2 linked regions of the Bombyx mori genome follow. The protein of the gene in region 1 binds, or shares a complex with, the protein of each later gene. Links are inferred from orthologs where the notes say so. Each region holds a gene or a part of one and is shown on either strand. Other genes may lie near its edges.

Region 1 (3,651 bases):
TTTGTTTGATCTTAATTACTAAACAACCCACAGATGAAATAAACAAAAAATATCACCAAAGAAAAACGTGTGTTCAGTAGATAGTCGGTCCCCCGGGGCGCGCTACAGGCGGTGGGGGGGGTCCAGGGTGCTGCAGCGGCAGTTGCAGGAGCTGACCGGGCACTCCGCGTGCTCCCTGCAGCACACGGGACTCATTGGCACGCGCTCCGCATGTTGGGAGCTGTGTCACTCTCATTATATTTTATTTATATTCATTCTATAACTTCGCTCTAACGTCCTGAGCCCGATGGCAGCAGCAGGGCAAAAACAATATCATCTTATTGTCAGTTTCGGTGTCATAAAAACTTTTTTTTTTTTTTAATCTGAATTTTTTTATTTTTTTTTATAGCTTAGGGGTCTGGACGAGCTCACGGCCCACCTGGTGATAAGTGGTTTCCGGAGCCCATAGACATCTACAACGTAAATGCTGTCACCCATTTTGAGATGAGTTCTAGTTTCAATATAGTTACAACGGCTGCCCCACCCTTCAAGCCGGAACGCTACTGCTTCACGGCAGAAATAGGCGGGGCGGTGGTACCTACCCGCGCGGACTCACAAGAGGTCCTACTACCAGTAATTACGTAAATTATAATTTTGCGGGTTTAATTTTTATTACATGATGTTATTCCTTCACTATGGAAGTCAATCGTGAATATTTGTTCAGTATGTATTTTATTAGAAAAACTGGTACCCACCTGCGGGATTCGAACACCATCGCATCGCTACATACGAATGCACCAGATGTCTTATCTTTTAGGCCACGACGACTTAAATATATAAGTTTATAATACTTGTTCGGAAACGGAGAACATTAGACAGAGAGCGCACGGGAGCGGGCGGCACGTACTTGAACCAGTCCATGAGGTGCGCGGCGTGGCCCCCGTGCCTGCAGGCCACGCACCAGCTGAACCAGCGGGGGAAGGCCGCGCCCCCAGCGCCGCCGCCCGCCGCGCCCCCCGCACCGCCCCCCGCGCCCGTGCCCAGATGCAGCGAGCACACGGCGCAGCGCGGCAGCGGCTTGCGGCAGTTCGGGCACGACGAGATTTGCTGAAACATCGCGCCCCCTGCTCGGAACCTTCTCGGAAACGTCTTAAGGCTTCGTCAAACAGAACGCGTAATTAGCGCGCATCAGAGCGCTACGCTATGACGCCGAGATGTGCTGTACTACTACTATGGTAACATACCGTCAAACAGAGCCCCAGCGCTAGCAGTACGCAAAGCTCTGTCGCGGCGTTAGGACGCTTTGACGTCAGGCATTGTAATTTTTTACAAATTTTATTTTAGCGTCCGAGTGAATGTATATTAAAATACTGGATAATGCCCGAAAAATTGATAGAATTAGTTAGGAAATATCCATGTTTATACAATGCCACATCTGAATCACTCGACATCTTGAAACTTTTTAATTTTCACACTGCTATCGAAAGGCACTATAATTTGGCGTTATGTTGCGTCAAGGAGCGTTGGGCTCGTCTAGTCAATTTGTGTGACATGAAAAGAGCGCGACGTTAAAACGCCGCGTTAAGAACGTGTTCTGTTTGACGAAGCCTTAAACGATAGTTGTTAACGAACGAGGCGCTGCCGCCCCCCCCCCCCTCCACGTGCCGCGGGACGCGCGCCATTTCATTCCGCCGCCGACCGGCCGTGCGATCACGCGCGCCCACTTCATACAATTTTGTTGGCGCGTCCATCACCAAGAAGCCTCCGTGATTTAAGAAAAAAACACGCGCGGCCATAACAAACAATTTGCTGCCGCGTGTAATTTCAAGAAGCCTCGTTAACAATAGTTATAAGTTCGATCTGGGTTTTTTGATTTGGGATTGACAATAATTGATTTAAAATGTTTATAACTAATTAATATAAGAAGTTAACGTTTTTTTTTCTCATTGCTCACGAGTGTTTCTGAACCCATAGACATCAATAACAAAGATGCCGCCACCCAGCTTGAGATATGAGTTGTGAAGTTCAGTTCTATAGTAGAACTGCTACCCCACTCTTCGAATCGGAACGTATTACTACTTCGCGGCAGGGGGGGGGGGGGGCGGAGGTACCGGTAACGTAGCATTTCATCACTATATGAAGTATGTAGGTCGCGGGGGAATGTTGTATTTACCTTCATCTTGGCGGCGGGCGGCGGAAGGCGCGCGAGCGGCGGGCGAGGCCGGGCCCCCGCGGCCGCCGCCACGGACTTGCCGCAGTAGGTGCAGGCCACGCACACGTGGCGCACGGCGGCCGCGGCGCTGCCCCCGCACACCCACGTGTCCAGCGCGCAGCGAGCCCACCACAGCCGCCAGCCGTCCAGCAGCCCGCGGTAGCTGCCCGTTACACACAACACTTCGCATTACTCTCTTCACAAGACTGCACTGCTGCTGCCGGAGTGCCGTCCTGTCTCAACGAGTCTATAGTCCTCGACAGCCCGCGCACGACACCGAGCACGCGGTGCGGCAGCCTGTCCTACCCGTCTGCTCCAATAATCGCTTGTGACTGAGAAAATTATAAACTCTTTTTTGTGAGCCCATCTGATGTTAAGTGGTCACCGGCGCCCGTATATGCAGTCTTCTGGAGACGTCGACGCAAGGTCGACAGCATAAATGATTCCACACATTCACATATTTTGCGGGTACCACTTTAATGTCCCTGTTGCTAACGGTGGGGTCAAACTGTAAAACTGTTCAATAAATGAAAACCAAATTTTCCATTAACTATAGTGTGCGCGGAAGGGCTAGTCACCGCCTGCTGTATGCGAGCGGCAGGGCGGGCGAGGTAGACAAACGTCAAGCTAACTCAGTCTGCCGTCGACCACCGCGGCGGTTGTACGATACAGTTGTTCTTGCCAGTTTGTTCCAAACATACACGAGATAAAATATCCTAAGATGGGTCCACCAATAACACGATCAGTGTAAAATGTAATTTACAATGTGCACAATTTTTTTTCTCAGACCGTAATTAGAATTGTAGCTGAAGTAAATTCGAATCGGCAAACATCGGAAAAATCAAAATTTACTTCTCCATGAAAACCTAAAAAAATAAAAAAGAGAATCTACATTGATGATTTCGACATGGGGGTATTACGATGGAAAATTCATAAATTTTTGTTGGTAAAAAAATCAAAATAGATAAATAAATAATTATTTTTTTATAATGTACTATAATGGTGATAGTTTTTTTTTTTTCTTTTTAAGAAATGTTCATTTGCTTATAAAATTGTTTTGTTTCGTAATAAAATATAATAAACACTTTTGAATATGCATTTTTTGTTTAACCAGGAAATAGAAAAATACAATATTAGAATTAGGCACCCATTACATTAATTCTAATATGTTATTCTGAGATTTATCTGCACTTAATATAATATCGTGTGCGTCTTGTCAATCGCGCTCTCCCCCGTCTCACCCCGCTACATACCTCAGGAGATGACCAGCGTTTCCGCGCGCACTACAAGTGCACTGTTATACAAGAATGTAATAAAATAATTTGACACTACCATGAACGCACGGCGCGTCTACGTATTGAATTAGGTATATACAAATCACAATTTAATGCCTCTTTTGCTAGCGGTGGGGTCAAGCCGTAGAAATGTTCAATCAATTAGTAAAAATCTATGATACTATG
Region 2 (4,310 bases), on another chromosome or scaffold:
ATTATCATTGAACACTTAAAGTGTGTAGTAAATTAAAAAAAAATACGTAATTGTCTATTTGACAAATTGGTCAAGTTATTGGAGATCTGTTTAATGAAAATTATCACACTCATAATTAGTTAATCATATACAAATTTTGCATCTATCTAAATTGTTCTGTTTTCGTGTTTATTTTGACAATAATGTTAATAATTGATGTATTTTTGTGTATGAATTTGTTATATTTATAAATAATATTAGCTTCCTTGTTAATCTATGTAATTAAATTAGCTAGTACACTACTAATTTTATTAAATGCCTATAATTTTTAATTGTTTTTTTTTTCAAAGTATATCATGAGCCTTTTCACACATCTATAGATCTTAGTGTAGGAATGGTAGGTAATAAATACGACATCGATGTTGGGAGAAAAACATGGTAAGGCGGGTACTAACGTCTAACGAAAGACCACTGTTATTTACAGCATTGGTCTTCCGTCGTGTGGGGTACGAACTGCTTGAATTGCTTCCCTTTTATAAATTATATATTATAAATTATTATTATCTATGCTGTTTTCATTCATGGACTGAGGCTCTTTAACAAGTTTTCCCAAGTTACCACAAGTTTCTCCCATTTAATCTACATGGGTGCCACTCCGGGAAGGACCGCTTAATTGCTGGGGATGAGATTAAATCCTTTATCGATATCCTGTAAAACAATTGTGGTGACCTAAAGAATAAGATGGACAGACAGACACAAATGAACGAGTTTTTGGCGGAAACGCCAGGACCGAAGTTGTGTGTATTGTTTTTTATTTAATTTAGTGTTTCTTCAGGCTTAAAGGCTTCGTCAAACAGAAAGCGTAATTAGTGCGCGTCAGAGCGCTACGCTATGACGCCGAGATGTGTTGTACTACTATACTATGAGCGCTATAGCGCTGGCGCTCTGTTTGACGGTATAATACCGTAGTAGTACAATACATCTCGGCGTCATAGCGCGGCGTTAGTTTAGCGCTCTGACGCGCGCTAAGTACGCGTTCTGTTTGACGAAGGCTTAAACGTGTAGTAATGGTGCTTTAATTACTGTTTTGCATCCGTAAAAGCGCATGTGGGAAAATGAAACAGTCGCTTGACATGGCTTTTCGGACTCTTCCAAAAAGTCCACTAAAGTCTCTTTAAATAACTGTCATTTTACTGTGACTTTATTTCATCCCATCTCACCTCATTTTATTTAATTTCATCCATATAATCTTTCCCTTTACGTTGTTTTTCATTTAACAGAATATAAAAAAAAATTGTCTGTATGAAGTGATACTTTCGCCTTTCATATTGAAAAATGGAATTATTACTGTCATTAATGTCATTTTCTGTTAATTTGAGGTTATAAATTGGGATTAATGTAACGGAAAAAACACTGTTAGTTCATAATAACAATGAGTGAAAACATAGCTACGAACCTTTTCGAGGCCCAAACGATACATGCCGATCACAAAGACCTTATTCACGATGTCGCGTACGACTTCTACGGGGAGAGAATGGCCACTTGTTCCAGTGATCAATACGTAAAGGTACATTCTTTATATTATTTTTAATTAGAGTACGTACCTTTGTTTTACGTACGTATAGTTGTAAAACGTGGTAAAATGAAATTTTTTTAGTCTTCTGGTAATTCACGAAAGCTTTGTTGCTTCGTAGTAATAAGCAATCGTGAAAGTTAATAATTTGGAATATGTTATTTTTTATCTTAGATATGGGACACAGACGGGCATGGAGGCTGGCGGATGACAGCGAGCTGGAAGGCTCATCACGGCTCTGTTTGGAAAGTTACATGGGCCCACCCAGAGTTTGGACAGGTCATTGCGACTTGCTCCTTTGATAGAACAGCTGCTATTTGGGAGGAAGTGGGTATGTGGAACCATTTGTTCATACCATTTAGCATTAAATTTATTACTTTTTCTAGATGAGTTGTTTTATAATATATTTTATGTATAATTAGCTGACCTGGCAGACTTCGTAGTGCCTCAATCAATAAATAAACTAAACTTTTGTATAAAATAAACCTAAAACAAAAAAAGGAATCCTTCCGGCGGGGGACATATTAAAGGAAAACAAAATTGTTATTTTTATTTAATTCTGAGCATTTTTATATTTAGCTACCTTTTAAACTTTCTCTGGACCTCTACAAATAATACAATACCAAAATTAGCCAAATCGGTCCAACCATTCTCGAGTTTTAGCGAGACGAACGAACAGCAATTCATTTTTATATATATAGATTATAGTATATTCTTGTAAGTTTTAGCCACAATTTACCCATTTTTTGCAGAATGTAAGGTGTAGGGTGCCTGCTTTTCATAGTTTTGCATCATGGTACATTCAATGTACTTCTGAAAGCTTTCATTAGTTTTTTGTGTTTGGGTAGACAGACTGAGATCTTAGATCCCATATCACTTAACATGAGGTGGGCTGTGAGCTCGTCCACCCACCTAAGCAATAAAAAAATTACATTCTAGGAAACCTAGCTTGGAAGTTGCAAAATAATATAAATTTTAACAGACATAAAGTGTGAAAAACTGTGACCAAAGAATGGCCTATTTAGTCATCACTAGCACCATCACTAGTCATGCAGAGATATACACAAGCCAAGTGCAGAATAGTAGGAGTATATAGTTCAAAATGATTGGTTCAAATAAATATGTATTCAATATTGTATTCAGGTGACACCACAGCAACAGGCTCTGAAAAGAGTTTACGTACATGGCTGAAGCGGTCAAACCTCGTTGATTCAAGAACTTCAGTAACAGATGTTAAATTTGGACCTAAACATTTAGGTCTACTACTAGTTACATGCTCAGCTGATGGCATTATAAGGTATTATGTTGATCCATAACACTACACATCAGTAAAACCTCCTGGTACTACTTATTTCAAGCATAAACTGATAGCTACTACCACCCTGCCTATTTCTGCAATGAAACAGTCTCGTTTTCTAATTTGTAGGCTGTTTTACTAGATGGTTAAGAATTTGGGTCTAAATGTGAGTGATGATTTATGTAACAATATTGGCAGCTACTAATGTAATCTAAGCTGTAAGCATTACCTGGTTTTCTACATTTTCAACAATTAAATTCAGCTAATTACCATTTTTCATTTGAATTAATTCTGTGTCGTTCTAGATAAATAGTTGACCTCAGAATCCACATAAGGCTATGTTGTTACTGGTATAGCAATACTGCTCTTCATCTTCTCACTTTAATCTGTTTGAAGCGAAAACAACATTCTGTTTGATTTACAGAATATATGAGGCTCCGGATGTGATGAATTTGGCACAATGGACCCTCCAGCACGAGATACCGACGAAAGTTTCAATTAGTTGTTTATCATGGAACCCTTCATTGTCTAGGTAGGTATGTATTTTTATTATAATTGGATGTAGCAAATAGCCCATCTGATCGTAACTGGATATAGTCACTTATGGACAACAAGTAGTCAACAACAACAGTCAACAACAACAACAACAATAATAACGTGTAGTCAACAAAGAGCTCTTTTAAGTCCCCAGATACTCATAAAACAGCAGGGAATTTAGTTTAGAGGTTGAAAGTGAGAGTAAGAGAGAGTTTTTGGGAGCAAATTGTGTTTTTACTGTGTAAAATAAAACTGTTCTGTTGGCTTGTATTAGTGACTTTTTTATAATATCTTCAATATTGCATTTTTTTTCTAGGGTAGGAAACCCACCAATGTTGGCAGTAGGCAGCGATGAACCTAACACAACAAATGCCTTAGCATCAGTACCATCTGATAAGAGCACAGCTTGTAATGGAAAAGTTTTTATTTATGAGTAAGTATTAATTTATATGTTGTAATCCATGTATTAAATATACACTTTTACTTTTATATGTAAATATCTAAAATACTTATTACTTGAAATAATGATAATTCTAGACAGTGACTTGGATGTGCCCCTGCCATTGACAATGTCTACTGTTAGCAGTGATTTAAAACTATCAGTTTTTGTATTGTATTTGTAGTGAATGTAAACATTTGGCTTCATTCATTTACTTGATAGATTTGCAAATTTTTATAGTTGTCTATAGCCCAGGGAAGATTTTTGTCATAGTTTGGAGAGTATACGACAAAAGGAAGATATTCAACCGAGCGGGTGACAGACAGTCCGAATGTTGATGTTCAGAACTTGTATATATGCAAGTTCCATTCCCGATCCTGCGGACAGAATGGAAAGCAGTCGACGTCGCCCCAAACACGTCATTTCGGATCCTCCCGATCCACTAACGGTGCTTTTAGGTACCTCAAGCACCGGTCATTGTTCTC

Evidence for each region.
Region 2: GATOR2 complex protein MIOS (region 1) and sec13-like protein share a complex: the UniProt entries of both Drosophila melanogaster proteins name them as parts of the GATOR complex. The link is inferred for Bombyx mori from reciprocal best matches to the Drosophila melanogaster genes mio and Nup44A.

What each region holds. Positions count from the first base shown.
Region 1 is NC_085114.1:15,836,330-15,839,980, forward strand, and holds part of GATOR2 complex protein MIOS, read right to left. Parts: intron 2,355-3,651; coding exon 2,153-2,354; intron 1,087-2,152; coding exon 887-1,086; intron 176-886; coding exon 103-175; 3' UTR 1-102. UniProt on the Drosophila melanogaster protein: An essential component of the GATOR subcomplex GATOR2 which functions as an activator of the amino acid-sensing branch of the mTORC1 signaling pathway.
Region 2 is NC_085125.1:13,431,545-13,435,854, forward strand, and holds the start of sec13-like protein, read left to right. Parts: upstream 1-1,364; 5' UTR 1,365-1,411; coding exon 1,412-1,546; intron 1,547-1,726; coding exon 1,727-1,883; intron 1,884-2,695; coding exon 2,696-2,849; intron 2,850-3,273; coding exon 3,274-3,381; intron 3,382-3,702; coding exon 3,703-3,819; intron 3,820-4,310. UniProt on the Drosophila melanogaster protein: Probable component of the nuclear pore complex (NPC). Involved in maintaining the localization of another nucleoporin Mgtor to the nuclear envelope of early meiotic female germline cells.